4 linked regions of the Oryctolagus cuniculus genome follow. The protein of the gene in region 4 purifies or fractionates together with the protein of the main gene of each other region. This does not show direct contact. Links are inferred from orthologs where the notes say so. Each region holds a gene or a part of one and is shown on either strand. Other genes may lie near its edges.

Evidence for each region. Proteins that work in one complex are often made in the same cells at the same time.
Region 1: the proteins of PSMB7 (region 4) and PSME4 purify together in Homo sapiens (affinity purification with mass spectrometry; 3 studies listed by BioGRID and IntAct, counting the BioPlex papers as one, with this or other methods). This does not show direct contact. The link is inferred for Oryctolagus cuniculus from reciprocal best matches to the Homo sapiens genes PSMB7 and PSME4.
Region 2: the proteins of PSMB7 (region 4) and RAD23B fractionate together in Homo sapiens (co-fractionation; 3 studies listed by BioGRID, with this or other methods). This does not show direct contact. The link is inferred for Oryctolagus cuniculus from reciprocal best matches to the Homo sapiens genes PSMB7 and RAD23B.
Region 3: the proteins of PSMB7 (region 4) and PSME1 purify together in Homo sapiens (affinity purification with mass spectrometry; 5 studies listed by BioGRID and IntAct, counting the BioPlex papers as one, with this or other methods). This does not show direct contact. The link is inferred for Oryctolagus cuniculus from reciprocal best matches to the Homo sapiens genes PSMB7 and PSME1.

What each region holds. Positions count from the first base shown.
Region 1 is NC_091433.1:148,747,137-148,751,239, forward strand, and holds the start of PSME4 (proteasome activator complex subunit 4), read left to right. Parts: upstream 1-1,303; 5' UTR 1,304-1,339; coding exon 1,340-1,581; intron 1,582-3,961; exon of another isoform or gene 3,962-4,103. UniProt on the Homo sapiens protein: Associated component of the proteasome that specifically recognizes acetylated histones and promotes ATP- and ubiquitin-independent degradation of core histones during spermatogenesis and DNA damage response.
Region 2 is NC_091432.1:211,021,845-211,025,930, forward strand, and holds the start of RAD23B (UV excision repair protein RAD23 homolog B), read left to right. Parts: upstream 1-1,286; 5' UTR 1,287-1,672; coding exon 1,673-1,738; intron 1,739-4,086. UniProt on the Homo sapiens protein: Multiubiquitin chain receptor involved in modulation of proteasomal degradation. Binds to polyubiquitin chains.
Region 3 is NC_091443.1:51,061,087-51,065,360, reverse strand, and holds the start of PSME1 (proteasome activator complex subunit 1), read left to right. Parts: upstream 1-1,474; 5' UTR 1,475-1,522; coding exon 1,523-1,538; exon of another isoform or gene 1,539-1,597; intron 1,598-1,702; exon of another isoform or gene 1,703-1,826; coding exon 1,827-1,963; intron 1,964-2,679; coding exon 2,680-2,712; intron 2,713-2,804; coding exon 2,805-2,867; intron 2,868-2,998; coding exon 2,999-3,109; intron 3,110-3,212; coding exon 3,213-3,258; intron 3,259-3,372; coding exon 3,373-3,470; intron 3,471-3,722; coding exon 3,723-3,791; intron 3,792-3,871; coding exon 3,872-3,939; intron 3,940-4,041; coding exon 4,042-4,096; intron 4,097-4,170; coding exon 4,171-4,257; intron 4,258-4,274. UniProt on the Homo sapiens protein: Implicated in immunoproteasome assembly and required for efficient antigen processing. The PA28 activator complex enhances the generation of class I binding peptides by altering the cleavage pattern of the proteasome.
Region 4 is NC_091432.1:228,297,343-228,300,842, forward strand, and holds part of PSMB7 (proteasome subunit beta type-7), read right to left. Parts: intron 141-3,500; coding exon 25-140; intron 1-24. UniProt on the Homo sapiens protein: Component of the 20S core proteasome complex involved in the proteolytic degradation of most intracellular proteins. This complex plays numerous essential roles within the cell by associating with different regulatory particles.

The DNA.
Region 1 (4,103 bases), on a different chromosome or scaffold from region 4:
GCCTCCCACCTTGGAGACCAGGATGGAATTGCCAGCTCCTGACTTCTGCTGCTGCTTCTGGTACTGGGGGAGTGACCCAGTGATTGCGGGTTCTATGTCTCTGTCTCCAAATAATAATTTTCAAAAAACATAATTTATATCATGCCACTCCTATGCACGAAATCTTTGAGAAGTTTTTCTTTAGGATAAGCCTCTAAATCCTCCAGCATTTCCTCCTCAGTTTCATTTCTCTACTGTCCCCTCTTGCGAACAATCTTCAGCCATCATAAACTTCTTCAAATTCCTACAATACCGCTTTCAGCCTTAGAGCTGTCGTCTCACTTGAAATATGAAAAGTCTCCCTTCCTTTTCTTACTTTGCTGTCAACCTTCCAGCATAATTTACCATTCGAGGAAACTACTTGTGGACACATCTCCAGGTCGAACTTCTCTTTAGAGATCCCTAGGCAACCTGTACTTACATAGTCATTAAGAGATTTCTCTTGTAACTCACTGGTCTATATCTCCGCTTCACAGTAAATCTCTGGAGGGTAGAAAACCAGGTGCTCTTAAAGCCTCCATCTCAAGAGCCTAGACACAGCGTCTGGCACACAAAATAGTCATTCGATTAATATTTGTTGAATAATCATCCCTTTCGTTAGGATGATGTTGGTCAGAAAGATAGGGGCTTAGTTTAAAGCAGACAGAGTAAAAAAATCTGTAAGGTACCGGTTGGATAGATACAGGGTATGCAGGCTTTTCCAAAAAAACCGCTTGTATCCTTGAGGCATTAGTTCCTCTGCCTGCGGGCCCAGGCCAATTCCTTTTGCCTGAGGCTGTGGCGATTAGGCTACCGCCAGGAGCGCGCGATACCAGGCGAGATAGGACAATAGCTTGGAATTCGGCCTCGTGCTTCCGGTGGGGAAGCCTCGTGCCCGGCCGGTGAGGCCCGGGGGTGGGAGCTCCAAGTCGGGCCCACGGCGAGGAAGGCGCGGCTCCTTGGGCGCACCGCCGCCACCGCCGCTGCTACCGCCTCCTCCGACGCCGTCGCCCCGCCCCGCCCCGCCCCGCCCCGGAAGTGACTTGAGGCCCGTCCGGAACTTCAGGGCCCGGCGGCTGCAGCGTCACCAGCCGAGCCGGTGCGGGGTGGGCAGAGCGGCCGCTGCCGTCGCCAACGAACCGAAGACCGCGCGGGGCCCAGCTGCGCGTCGGCCAGGGGAGGGGGCCTAGCGGTCGGGCCGAAGGGTGACGGGCCGCCGGCGGCCGCGGGGCGCCGACGACGCGGAGGAGGCGGAGCCCGGAGAGGGGTGGGGGCCGGGGAGGGCTAGGGTGGGAGGGGGTGGGGGGGTGTCCCTGTGCTCATGGAGCCGGCCGAGCGGGCGGGAGGCGGGGAGCCCCCGGAGCCGGGCGGGCGTCTCGGGCCGGGCTGTCGAGGCTTCGTGCCGCAGAAGGAGATCGTGTACAACAAGCTGCTGCCCTACGCCGAGCGGCTGGACGCCGAGTCCGACTTGCAGCTGGCCCAGATCAAAAGCAACCTGGGCCGGGCCGTGCAGCTCCAAGAGCTGTGGCCCGGGGGCCTCTTCTGGACCAGGAAACTCTCCACGTAAGTGTTCCCAGGCCTGCGAAATGGGTCGGGGCACAAGGCTCCGTGGGAGGGCATCGTGGGGGTGTGGGTTGAGGGGGCTAGCTCTTTGTCCGGGCTGCTGGACCTAGCTAATGCTCTGTCCTGGACGGAGCTGTCCCCCCTGCGACAGCAGCTTGTAAAGCTTTCAGGTCTCCTTCCTGCGACCGGTCTCCAGGACCTCCCGGGACCTCATCCGCCCTCTGCGTCCTCCCAGCTGTCCCTCGTCGAGCGGCGGTGTTGTAGTCTTCCGGCCCCTCGGGCCCTGGGGCCCGGCGCGGGAGAGAGGAGCCGTCTCGCAAAGCCTTCTTTGGGGCTTTGCGTATGGGGAAGGCGGGGTGATAGCCTTGGTTTTCGGGAGAGGAACTCCTGACTTGTCTGCTTCTCCTCGTGCTTCCTCCTCCTCCTCTTCCTTCCCCTGCAGTCCCCGCCTCTACTCGTGTCGGTTCGCGTCTAGGAACTTTCTGAATGGGAAGGAGGGCGTTGGGAAACACTGCTGGGTTCTGCTTTGTGGGTCTGCTCACTTTCAGTGGATTTGATTGAGAAGACTGGTTGAAAATCAGCCCTCAGAGTATTCTTGGGCCCACCATGGGACGTTAGTGTTGAGAGTGTTGTCTGAAACCTTAGAGAAGTGTGCGGTATTCCTCTTGTGACATTTCCTTTCGCCAGACCTTTGCGATACTCCGAGAAATAGATGCAGTGTCAGGTTGTGCTGGGCGATACTAGCATCAAACTTGAGTGCTTTGTTAAGGCGCTCAGACGAAGGCAGATTACTGAATTAGTTGCAGGAGTTGTGTTGTTGGCATCGTCTCTAAAAACCAGCTGCCACCTATAGTGTCAGTGAAATTACGGTCGGGGGGGGGGGACCCAAACACCCCCAGTTAAAATAGTGTGCGGGCAAAAGGTTAGGGAGGTTGTTCACTAGAGGGGTATTTTCAGTGTCAGAACTTTGGAAAACATTCTCTGTATCTTGTTTGGTTAATGTGCATACGGTTCTACTAACAGTGTTCATGCGTGTGAATGTTGGTAGATGAACACACAAGACATAAGTCACTTACTCAATGTTTACCCAAATCTGCTGAGTGAACTGGGTGATGACTCAGGGTTTTGTAATGCAATAGTCACCCTCACAGGATGATTCTTATCTGCCAGTTATTAGGGGACCTCTGACAAATTTCTTTTCTTTGGAGGGGGGTGTAGGTGGGAATAATTAGCTTTTTAATTAAGACAGGTGGGAATAATTAGCTTTTTAATTAAGAACCAAAGCTAAAACAGTATTCCCCTTCATAGAGCAACCATAAAATGACAAAAGTGTCAGCTCTCTTCCTGACCAGAGTGTAAAGTTTGTACTCTGTTGGGATCCGTGGAAGGATTGTGGAGGAAAGGAATGTAACAGGGAAAAGAACCTCTGTCAGTCAAAACAGAAGAATGTTTTATAAACAATTACAATTTGAACACTTTTTCAAGTGCGCCTTCTAGGTGTTTGTGTTATTACTCAGGCACAGTAACAATAAAGTTTCCTTGTCAGTTCCATTAATTTCCTATTTAAATCACTTGTATTAGACTTGCCAGAGAATACCATTTGGGGTGACACAAACAGCTTCTTTTAGAGGCACAGTATATAACTGTGCTAAAATGTGAAGACGTATCTGGTTTGGATTTATGAAGCTGCAATCTACATAGGCCTAGATAAGGATTGTTTAGTGATGTTATTAACAAGTCTGGTAAATTAGCACCTACAGTTTTGTTACTGTTAATAGACAAAAGTTCTTACCTAGAAAGGGCTAAAAATACAGTGGAGACAGCACATGGTGTTTGGGACAGGATTGCAGTTAGTGGCTTAATATATATATATATCTAACCAGCGAGAAATGCTATCAGGTAGAATTTTATTTTGGAATGGTGATTAAATACAGAGAACTGATTCTTGTGGTTGCACTGTGTGACATTTTGAACTTGTTGGGTGGGACGTGTTGTGGTCTTGGGTGTGTTTTTTCTCTTAAGTCATGTTAAGGTCACCTGTTTATAGTCGTGCTTGTTTTTTAAGCCTTGTATGTTGCATAAGTTAACATCTAAATAATGCCAAAATCTGTGATGATAGCTGAGTAGTGGTCATGTTTAGCACTTTGTAGCAGAATGGAAAATAGTAATGAAAATAAAATCTAGTTTCTCCCATATCTGCAACTTTGGGAAGCTTAATCATGCACTTTAGTATTCTTGTGAGTGAAACAAGAAAATTGAAATAAATAATTCCTGGGAACCATTCCTGTTATGGTGTTCTGTGATCTTAGGTATTTATTTTTATCCTGTTGAGCTCAACTTAAGCCTGTTGTATATTTTTCTAGAAGGAATGTGCGTGTAGTTTTTTTTTTTTTTTTTTTAAATTAATTTATCTATAAGGCAGAGTTACAGGGAGACAGCGAGCGAGGTCTTCCGTCTGCTTGGTCACTCCCCAAATGGCTGTAACGGCCAGCACTGGGCCAATCTGAAGCCAGGAGCTTCTT
Region 2 (4,086 bases), about 17 Mb from region 4:
CCTCGAATCGCTTTAAGTCAAACGTGCTCCAGGGAGCCCTATTCCTGGAGTCATTCTGGCCCAGTTCAGAGTCGAGTCTGGTTTGCCACTTCACAGGTGGCCGACTACAGGCACGCGGCTCAACAGCCTTGTACTTCAGCTTTTGCCCCTGTAAATGGACATGTAATCAATGGCTAACCGCTTATGGACTGTTGATTAGGCTCCTTACATTAAGATTTTGCATACTTTATTGAACTCCCCTCCAATAACCAACGAGTTGGGTGCTGTTAGTACCCCACGTTAGTGCTGAGGAGCTGGAAACACAGGTACCCATTTTACGAATATTCACTGTATGCCTGCAGTGTGCCAGGCGCGTTTCTTAGGTGCCGGGGATACACCGGGGAACAAAACAAAATCCACACCTTTGTGTAGCTTCAGTCAGGGGCTTAATGGAAAGGGAGAAGGATGATACACACAGTAAACATGTACATTAGATGGTAAGATTAGGTGATACACGCTATGGGAAAAACGATCAGGATAGAGGAGCTAGGACAGTTGTGATTTCCAGTAGGGTAGCCAGGATGGACCTCACCGAGTCTGAGCGAAGAGCTGCAGGAGGGGAAGTGATGGCAAGGGCACAGACAGCCCTGTGGCGGTGCAGGACGGGCCGACGCACTCAGTTCTAAGGACTTGGACTTTTACTCGGAGAGGGCCAGGAGGGAACTCGTCAACACGTCTGCTCACTGGAGAGACAACCACCTGCGTTTCAAATTGGCCTGTGGAGATTCAAGTCTCAAAGCCAGGGAGAAAAAGGCACGGTGTGAGCCCAGGCGGTCGCGCTCTGGAGTCCGCGCCCTCAGGATTAAGCATCAGCCGATTACACACACAGGCTCACCCCGGCAGCAAGCGCCCCGCAAGTGTTGGCCCAGGACTGCGGCTCCCGCGATCCCTCCACTTTTCACTCCGCCTTCTACCTCTCCTTTTCTAGGCTCAGCATCTACTCAGACAGGTTTCCACGTAGCGCTTCCCCAGCTACGGATTGCGCAATTCGGGCAGCTGGGTGGGGTCTGGACCTGGGCGGAGCGACAGCCGGTTGGAAGAACGCCCCGGCTGTAAACCCTGCGAGCACGCCCCAAGCTCACCGGACGCCCACGGCGTGCGCCTGCGCACCCCGATCCAGGCGGCCAACATTCCAGAGCCGCAAGCCGCCACGCCCCCAGTTCCGGGGCGGAGCTCTGGACCGCGCCTGCGCACTACTTCGTCGCAGCCTGCGCCTGCGCGCTTCGCCCGCCCGGCCCCATCCCCCAGGTTTTTTCAGGTGGGGGAGGGGGCACGTCTCGGCGAGTCACGATGATGGCGGCCACCATCCTGTGGTGAGCTAGCGGATTCTCTGCAGGTCTCACAGAGCCCCTCGCGCTTCCTGCAGACTCGGGGGCTGGCGGCGGGCGCGTGAGGAAGCACGGCGGCCGGAGCTCGCGGGAAAGGCCGGAGTCGCGGAGGCAGCGGCGCGGCCCGGGGCCCGGACTGGGGGAGAGGCCGCTCCGCAGGGCGAATGTGACAAGCCCCCACCCCCACCGCCTTCCTCCAGAGAGCGCGAGGAGCGCGGGCGACCCCAGGGCCGGGCCAGGCCACAGACCCCGCCCAGCGGCCAGCACCCGGCGGAGGCCCGGCAGCGGAGCTGCGCGGCGGCACCATGCAGGTCACCCTGAAGACCCTTCAGCAGCAGACCTTCAAGATCGACATCGACCCCGAGGAGACGGTACGCGCGGCGGGGAGCGCGGGGGCGCCGGCGGCTGCGCGCGGGGCCGAGCACCCGAGGGCGCGGAGGCCCCAGCGGCGTGTGCGGCGGACCCGGCCCCACAAGAGTTGGCCGGGGGCTTTGTAGCAGGGAGCTTCGGGGAGCGGTGGCCGGACGCCGGAGGCCTGGTGGCAGATGGCGTGGAGCGCACGCCCGCGGGGCCCGCAGGCCTCGGCCGCGGAGCTCGTGGCGCTGGGGCTGAGGGGGAGGGGAGGTCGGGCAGCCCCGGCGGTGGAGCCCGGGCCGCGGCTGCGGGTGCCCAGGTGGGGGAGGGCGACGGAGACGTGGAGCTGGTTAGGCGCGGAGGGCTAGGAGTTGGTAACCCGAGCTGATGGGCCTTAAAAAGAAGGATCAGGTTCCGTCTGTGGCCGAGTGAGTGGTGAAAATGAGTTCATTGCCCCCTTCTCTGGAAAGGTTAACCCTTTTGTTTGCATACGTCTCGAATGGTTTTCTGCCGTCCTCCTGGCCCCCAGCACACACGCACACGCAGATTACACTCCGAGAACTCTGGTGGCGAGGTGTGTGCCTCGGAGCCCTGCGAATCCGGGCTCGGACTCAACTCCAGATTGCGCGGGTCCCTCTTTTGGAAGCCTTGGAATGGTAGGGGTTGGAACCCTGGACACCCCCCCCCCCCAATACTTGCAATTTAGGGGAAAGAAACGAACATAAAATACGAACTCTGAATTTCTTCTGTAAAGTCTTAAGAGCTCCAGTCCACGTGACCCAATCTCATGCCATCTTCTCTACTTGTGGCTGCAAAAAGACGCGCTCTGTTGGAATCAATTCAGCTTTATCCCAAGAAATGAAAAATGCCCCGAGTTTAACTCTGCTGCGTGTGTTCCAGAGTTGTCACGCCCCCATACACCGTTAAGACTGTCGTAATGTCAAGTTGAAACCAGCAGCTTGCTGCTTATCTTTATTTTAAAAAATATTTGATTTTTATTTTGGTTGGAGATCGGGGCCTTGGTGTTAAGTAGACATGAGTTCCGTCTGTGGCTTTGGCACTTATTTGGTATGACCTTGCGCACATTACTCTGTTTCGTCCTCCATAATAGATATAAATACCTGAGGATTAAATGGTATTTAGTTGGAGGTCAATAAACAGAATCATTCGATCAATAGGTACCTTTGAGGGAAGATGATGTTAAGTTTTACCTGTCTCATTTAATCTTGTAAATTTTTCTGCATTTTCAGTTTGTTTAAGAAACCAAGAGAGTTGCCAGTCCTTTCGGAATTGTGGCACAAAGTAATTTCAAAATAATTCATCAAATGTAGATGAATGCTGTGTGATGAATTTGTAAAGGTACAGGAGATACCAGTTCTGTGTGAGAAACTTTCAGTGTGCTCAGAAGTAACTGGCAACACCCTGTGTGCTAATACTGCTAATAGAAGGAAATTCTTGAATATTTTCCTGTTGCTAGGGTTTATACTAATAAGTTGAATGACAAAGTTTAAAATGCAGTTGTCTTTAATTTCAGACCAAACTACATAAACTGCCTAATTGACTTCGGTTCTGTGTGGTAATAAGTGTCGGAGCCATGGTAACTCAGTTTATAATAGTCAATTCCAGAATTATTGAAACCTAAAGTTTTTTTTTTTTTTTTAAAGTATCTGGGTTTATTGAAGTTGTGCAGTGATACTTTCCATAGCTTCACTGAAATACTCCTCCTCTAGCTCTTTTTGGCATTTTACACATGGAGCCAATGCTGTATTTGTAGAAGTTCTTAACTGTATTCATTGCTTTCCTTCGATTCCAAGGGAATGTAATGAATTACACTTTCAGATGTATATTTTCCAGAAAGTTTTATGGGGGGGAGCTTTAGCTTTTTTGTTGCTATTTATATAAATATAACTTTGTTGCTATTGCTATAATTATAAACTAATATTTTAGGTTAGTCTGGGGTAAAAAACTAAAGCCTTCTATTTACATTAAAACAACTTGTCGATTTTCAGTAATGGCTTGGAGTTTCAGAAAATTTTTAAAGGCACCTTTTAGATGTGTACTCATTTTTTGATACAATATTTTAGAATTCCGCTAAGAAACAATAACAGTTTGATATAGGGTGATTCTAAGTGGCTTGTTCTAATTTGTTGTGAGAAGTAGATAACCAAAGATAGTAGAAACAGTTAAAAAATAATGAAAAGTTGTGATTTCATTGAGACATAATAAGTATATCTGCAATGAACAGATTTTGGCCTCAGACCTGTATTTTGGTTGCTCAAACATTGGTTCCGTGTTTACAAAGAAAGGAACTAAGCAAATTCCTTAACTCTGGGTAGCCTCTCTAGAAGTTCCTGTGAGCTTGAGA
Region 3 (4,274 bases), on a different chromosome or scaffold from region 4:
TCCTGGGACCCCTTTCTACCCTGTCTGCCCCGTGGTGGGGGTGTGTGTGCCCTCATGTATTTAACAAATGTTTATCGAGGCAAGCACAGTTCCCTGCCATGTGGATAAGAGAGACGAGGTTCCTGCTGTTTGGGGGTCTATGCAGGTGTCAGACGCACAGATAATAACAGCAAGCAACTGCACTTTCGCTCTGTGCCAAGGCACTGTTCTGAGCGTCTATAAATTCTTTATATAAATTAAGACATTTAGTCCTCTTGTCAGCCCCGCTATGAGTGTCTCCATTGTGCAGGCATGAAAAGTGAGGCACCCAGGTTAATCTGTTCAAAGCTAACACCACATAGAGGAGGCAGGGTTACAAACCGAGGCAGTCTGGGTGCTCTAGGTCTAAACCAGGAATGGGCAAAACACTGCCCTCCTGTGGCCAGTTTTTGTATGGCCTGTGAGCTAAGAACGGTTTTTCCATTTTTATGCTGAAAACATCAAAGAATAATACAATATGGTATGAGGGTAGTTCAAAGGGTTCATAGGAAAATGGAATTAAAATATATTTACTTTGGTGCAACTTTTTTTAATCTACACAGACAGGGGTTATCAAAAACGTCACGGGGAATCAGCACACTGTGAAAAACTTTAATGGATTTCAAAGGTTTCTGCACCAAAAGAAACATTTTTTTATTCCATCTTCCCACAAACCTTTTGAAGCACCATCATATTTCATGACACACGAAAATTACATGGACTCAAGTTTCTGTGTCCATAAATAAGCTTCACGGGAACCAGCCGCACTAATTCATGGACATATGACTGCTTTCTTGTTGCCATGGCACAGTTGAGTAGTTGTTACCAACACTGTAAGGCCCACAGAGCCTAAAATATATATTATCTAACCCTTGGCAGAAAAAGCTTGTGGAATCCTGAAACAAAACACTGAGCTAATATCAGAGAGAGAAATGCTGTGAAGGTACTCAAGCAGGCTGATTTGGCCACCTGGAGGTGGCACAGCCGGTTAGGCTGCGGTCTGTGATGCTGGCATCCCACAGGGATGCTGGTTTGAGTCCCGGTTGCTCCACTTCTGATCCCGCTCCCTGCTAATGCACCTGGGAAAGCAGTAGAAGATGGCCCAAGTGCTTGGGCCCCTGCACCCACGTAGGAGACTCGGAAGAAGCTCCTGGCTCCTGGCTTCCTCTTGGCCCACCCCCAGCCGTTGTGGGCATTTGGGGACAGAAGATTCTCTCTCTCATTTTTTTGTTACTCTGCCTTTCTAATATAATAAATACATTTTTTTTTTAAATCTTAATTCTGAGGAGGTGACATTTGAACTGAGAGCTGAATGACCAGAGCCGTGGGAAGGGCCCTTCAGGAGGAATGGCCAGGGGGCAGGAAGGCAGGTGACTGGAGAGGAGCAGGTGGGAGGTCTACAGGAAGCTGCGGCGGTCAGAGGCGAACGCGCAGCAGCAGCCAAGCCTAGCGGACTGCAGCTCGGGTGAAGGGTAGCAGCAGCGTCCGGGTGTCGGGCCACAGGATGCCGGCGAGAGCAGGTGCCCACGCTGGCTGGGAAGGCTAGCAAGGAGCGGCCAGCCAGGTCTCGTCCCACGGAGTAAGGCGCATCCCTGTGCCAGGCGCAGCAGCGGAAGAGAGGCCAATGGAGGAGTTGGGGGTGGGGGGGAGAGGCGGGGACAAGGGGGGCGGGAGGGGCAAGGTGGGGCGTGGACAGGCGGGCACAGGGAGCTGTAGGGGGAGCCCCGCGGGGCTGCCCGCCTCTGCGGCCGTCTCCCCGGTCTGGTCTGTCCCCGCCTCCTCCAGTCCCTCCACTCCCTACTACCCAGGAAGGCCGTGCCGGTGGCGAGCGCCGCTTTCGCTTTCTCTTCCCGGTGCCCACTCCTCCTCGCTCCTCGTGCGGCAGCAGGTCCCCCCCGGCCCTGCCATGGCCACGCTCAGGGTCCAGCCTGAAGCCCAAGCCAAGGTGAGCGCCTCGGGGTCGAGGAAGGGCCGATTAGAGGGAGACGTGGTTCCTAGAGGCGAGGGAGCCCCCGACCCGCCCCCTCCCCCAGCCCCCACTTGAGTAGGGGTCGGTCATGCCTGCCGCCTCGGTGCTCCCAGCACCTGAGCCCCGGGGAGACCGGTGAGGTCTGCCTTCGGGGAGAGGCGAGGCGGCCTTGGTCCAGCGAGGTGAAGTGAAGCAGAGAGCCGGAGAGGGGAAGCCTGCCGGCGGGGGCCCCACACAGACTGGTGCAGGACCTGCCCCTGGCTCCTCAGTGCCTGCGCGGGGCTTGGGGGGGGGCGGCACAGACTGGTGCGGGACCTGCCCCTGGCTCCTCAGTGCGTGCGCGGAGCGGGGGGCACAGGCTGGTGCGGGACCTGCCCCTGGCTTCTCAGTGCCTGCTGGGTCCCACTGGCTGAGGCTGCCCTACTCCCCTCCTCACATGCACAGCATAGCCCAGGAGACCCTGGAGACCCTTCCCACCAGGAGTGCTCTCAATCCCCAGATGCAACCCCAGGGGGCCCGGGACTGCAGAGGTCCACCCCTTTAGTCCCAGTCCACGGGCACAGGGGTCCATCTGGCCTCAGAGAGCACACCCCACCCTTCCCCAGGTCAGACCTGCCACAACCCTAGAGGAACTCCCTTCCAATAAACCGGCCTTAAAGCCAGGTTTCTGAACGGTTGCCTGTGCCCCACAGGTGGATGCGTTTCGTGAAGACCTGCGTGCCAAGGTAAGATCCGTCCCGCCACACCCCAGCTCCGACCCAACCGGGACCACTCGGAGTCTCACCCCCACCCTCCGCCACCCCCACCTCACACACAGACCGAGAGCCTGCTTGGGAACTATTTCCCCAAGAAGATTTCTGAGTTGGATGCGTTTTTAAAGGTACTGGGGCTGGCCAGGGAGCTGGAGAGTTAAGGGGCCCAGAGGACGGGAGTCAGGGCGAGGCCCTGAGAGTGAGGAGGCGAGAGAGACACACACACCTTGCCTCTAGCTCTCCTCCTACCCTCTGCCAGGAGCCGGCTCTCAATGAAGTCAACCTGAGCAACCTGAAGGCCCCCCTGGACATCCCCATGCCTGACCCGGCCAAGGAGAAAGAGAAGGAGGAGCGAAAGAAACAGCAGGGGGCAAGCTGGGAACCCCCCCCGGGGGGGGGGGGAGGGGCCCAACCAGGCAGGGAAAACCTGCCTTCCTGCGGTCTGACTCCCAGGGACCCCTCTCTCCCTGCAGAAGGAAGACAAAGACGAAAAAAAGAAAGAGGATGATGAAGATAAAGGTATTTGAACAAAAAAGAAATCTCTGGTGGGCAGGGACTTGGCCACCACCCTGCAGGGGCTCTCCTGTCAGGCACAGGCTCAGTGCAGTGAGTAACCCACCGCCCACTCACCAGGTCCTCCCTGTGGCCCAGTGAACTGCAATGAGAAGATTGTAGGCCTTCTGCAGCGCCTAAAGCCCGAGATAAAGGACGTCATCGAGAAGCTGAATCTGGTGAGCCCTGCTCCTTCCGCCCCTGGCTTCAGGTCGACCCCTTTGTCCTCTTGGTTCTGCCAGTTAGGTTATGCCGCTTGCCTGGTCTTAGCAGGAAAGGGAGGGCACAGCCGGTGAAGTCAGCAGCCTAGGCCCATGAGGCTTAGGATAGACCTGGCCTACCTCCACCCAGCATGGGCAGCAAGCAAGGCCAAGGAGGCCAGGTGGGGGTGGGGGGCCGGATGTGGCTTTGATGCGCTTCCCTTCCCCCAGGTCACCACCTGGTTGCAGCTGCAGATTCCCCGGATTGAGGACGGCAACAATTTCGGAGTGGCTGTCCAGGTGAGAGCACTGCCCTGCTGCCCTGCCCTCATCTCTAGTCCCGGCTTCCTTCCACTTTGGCCCTCACTTGCCGTCCCCAGGAGAAGGTGTTTGAGCTGATGACCAGCCTTCACACCAAGCTGGAAGGCTTCCACACGCAGATATCCAAGTGAGTGGCCGCCCGCCCACACCCAAACCCTCTGCTTTGGGACATGGGCCTATGAGTGCCCTCCGTCTTGTCCCACTCCACGCACACTTCTAATTCCCACAGGTATTTCTTGGAACGCGGAGATGCGGTGGCCAAAGCAGCCAAGCAGCCCCATGTGGTAGGTGCGGCCCTGGTCAGGGTGCGTGGGAAGGGACGCGCTGGGCATCCGGCCTGACTGCTGGGTTTCCACAGGGTGACTACAGGCAGCTGGTGCACGAGCTGGACGAGGCAGAGTACCGGGACATCCGGCTGATGGTCATGGAGATCCGCAACGCTTATGTGAGGGGCCAAGGGCA
Region 4 (3,500 bases):
GTGTCAGGGAAACATCACACTCACCCATGGTGACGTAAGGCAACTTATCAGTAGATCCATGAGGATAGATGCTGTAGAGATGAGGTCCAGTGACATCTACTCCTCCTAAAACCAGGGCTGCACCAATGTAACCTTGATACCTGTGATCAGAGAACATACAAGAAAAAGACACATGAGTCTACAGAACACTCCTACAAACAATCCAAAAATGCAGGCTCAGACAACACTGTTGCATTTTTTAATGTTTTGAGGGAACACAAGGAGGAAGAGAACATTAGCTGAACATCTAGTATCAGCCAAAATAAACTGTAAATTGCATGAGGCACTCCAACACATCCGCTGCTCAGCTTCCCAGCCCCCTTTAAAACAGGGCACTGCTGGTCCCGTTTAGAGAGGAAACCAACCCAGAGACAGGATGTGCTCAACAAGGGTCTCCAGGCCAAGTCTGGCACACCCTTCCCTTCTCACTTCTGTGGGCAGATGAGCTCCCTTCAAAGCTAACACTGCAGCATGGCCGAGCTTAGCCTGACCTAACAACTATCCCCACCACCAACTCAACAGGAAAACAGCTTGTGTGGAAACAGCTTTGCCTTTGAATACATCCACCAAATGATCATCACAGATACAAGCTCATGCTGAGTAGAAGAGAAAGCTTGGGGCCGGCACTGTGGCATAGCAGCTAAGGCCACCGTCTGCTGTGCCAGCATCCCATATGGGCGCCAGTTCAAGTCCCAGCTGCTCTACTTCTGATCCAGCTCTCTGCTATGGCCTGGGAAAGCAGAAGATGGCTCAAGACCTTGGGCCCCTTTACTAAGTGAGAGACTTAGAAGAAGCTCCTGCCTCCTGGCTTCAGATTGGTGCAGCTCTGGCCATCGCAGCCAACTGAGGAGTGAACCAGCGGATGGAAGACCTCTCTCTGTCTGCTTCTCCTTCTAACTCTTTCAAATAAATAAATAATTAATAAAAAAAAAAAGGAGGGGGGAGCATTGCATCATTCAGAGAAGTGAAAAATAACTCCCTGGCAGCCTATAAAAGCCACTGCTACTGCCCACAGGACAAAGCTGCACTCCCTCAGGAACATCAACAATACATTTCCCACCTCATCCTGCTTCTGTTTAACTTACACATATTTTTCTTCTGGCCCCTTAACCTGGCTGTTTTTCCATTTCTATAGATTCCCTTCCCTGTATCTGGTTCCATTTTTGACCACTAGAATTACTATGCCAGGTAAACATGTAGGATTTGAAGTTCTCCACCGTGAGCCTTTAGCTCTTTGGGGAGAAAACAGAAACTAACACGTATGTGCTAGATTTGCCAGATAATATCATCAGTGATGCTCAGGCAAAGGACCAAAGCCCTAACTTTAGACTGAGACAGCAACACATCAGGAAGCATTCCCAGCAAACACAATGGCCAAGTTCAGCATTTCCCTTGTCCCTTGACTGTCAAATTGTTCTAAGTATTTCAGAGAGAACCTCCCGCTAGTAAATGGAAAATTCAAGAACAGGAAAGGACTTTAGAAGCAGGCTAAAGGCTCAGGGGCAAGAACTGCCACCTGAGCCAGCAGCAGGGTCAAGAGCACAGCCCCGTGCTCTGGGAGGGGCAGCCAGAATCACCAGCCCCACGGCCCCACCAGTCCAGTGCCACTTCCTACACCAACTGCCTGTTGAGCACGGTATTTACGGAAACTTAAAAACAATCAGCCAGGGGCCAGCACTGTGGCGTAGCAGGTAAAGCTGTCGCCTGCAGTGTCGGCATCCCATATGGGCGCCAGTTCAAGTCCAGGCTGCTCCACTTCTGATCCAGTTCTGTTATGGCCTGGGAAAGTAGTAGAAGATGGCCCAAGTCCTTGGGCCCCTACACCCACGTGGGAGACCCTGAAGAAGCTCCTGGCTCCTGGCTTCAGATCAGCACAGCTCTGGACACTGTGGCCAACTGGGGAATGACCAGCAGATAAAAGACCTTTCTCTCTCTGCCTCTCCTTCTTTCTCTGTGTAACACTGACTTTCAAATAAATAAATAAATAAAATCAGCCAGTTCTCCTCCAAGTTCACATATAATCTGCTCAATGCCTTTTATAGAATCCAAGAGGTTTTGGCATATTATTGAAATCGTTCACAACCAGTGCAGAAATTCTGCATCTAGGGCCCTATTCCAAGAATATAACCAGACAAATTATACAGAAATAAAAGCCCAAGGATGTTCACTGCAGCACTCTTCATGAGGCTAAAATCTGCAAACAGCAGAGGGAGAAACAGCTAAATAAACTGATACCGTCCTACAACTACACAATCACTAAAAACCCAGGGCGAAGGCTGTGGTGCAGCGAGTTACGCTGCCACCTCCGTTGTTAACACCCCACACTGGAGTGCCAGTCTGAGTCCTGTTTCTGATCCAGCTCCCTGCTGATGTGCCTGGGAAAGCAGCAGCAGATGGCCCATGTGACAGGAGTTCTGGGCTCCTGGCTTAGGCCTGGACCAGCCCTGGCCATTGTGGCCATTTGGGGAACAAACTAGTTGTTGAAAGATCCCTGTCTCTCTGTAGTTCTACATTCCAAGTAAGTAAGTAAATCTTTAAAATATATATGTATATTAATTTTCTCATGCATTACTGATAGGGACACAACTTAGTACAATCTTTCTCAAGGACAGTTTTGGCAAAGTGCTAAATGCATACCTTTGATCAAGGAATTTATTCTAGAATACAGCCTCAGGAATTAATTACACAAGCCCACACATGTTCAATATTTCAAACTATTCCTAGAATACCTTACTAATATCTTAGAAGATGCCTTAAAATGGGAAATTATCATTAATGTTCAGAAACGGGTTAAAGTGTAAAGCGTCTACAGAAGGAAATGCTAAGATATCACCAAAAATTATATTACTGATTAATGGTTCTTTTTAAACATTTATTTATTCATTTGAAAAGCAGAGTTATAGAGAGGTAGAGAGAGAGACAGACAGAGACAGAGAGGTCTTCCAACACTGGTTCACTCCCCACATGGCCACAAAAGCTGGAGCTGCACCAATCCAAAGCCAGGAGCCAGGAGCTTCTTAAGAGTTTTATTGAAAACGGAGCAGCTGGCACTCGAACAAGCGTCCATGTGAGATGCGGGCACTGCAGGCAGCAGCTTTACCCACTTAGTCGCCTCGCCGGCCCCCTGATCAACGGTTCTTACACTTTCCTGGGTCGCAGGCCCTTCACATGAGAACTGTGCACCCCTAGGGGTTAGCACCATGGCACAGTGAATTAAGCTGCCACTTGCGATGCTGGCATCCCACACCAGAGCACCAGTCCAAACACCGGCTCCTCCACTTCCTATTCAGTTGCCTGCTAATGCACTAGAAAGGCAGTGTTAGATGGTGCAAGGGACTGGGTCCCTGTACCCACGGAGCAAACAAGGATGGGGCTCCTGGCTCCTGTCTGCAGCCTGGCCCAGACTGCACTGTTGCCATCATTCAGGGAGTAAAGCAGCAAATAAAGATTCTTTGTCTGAC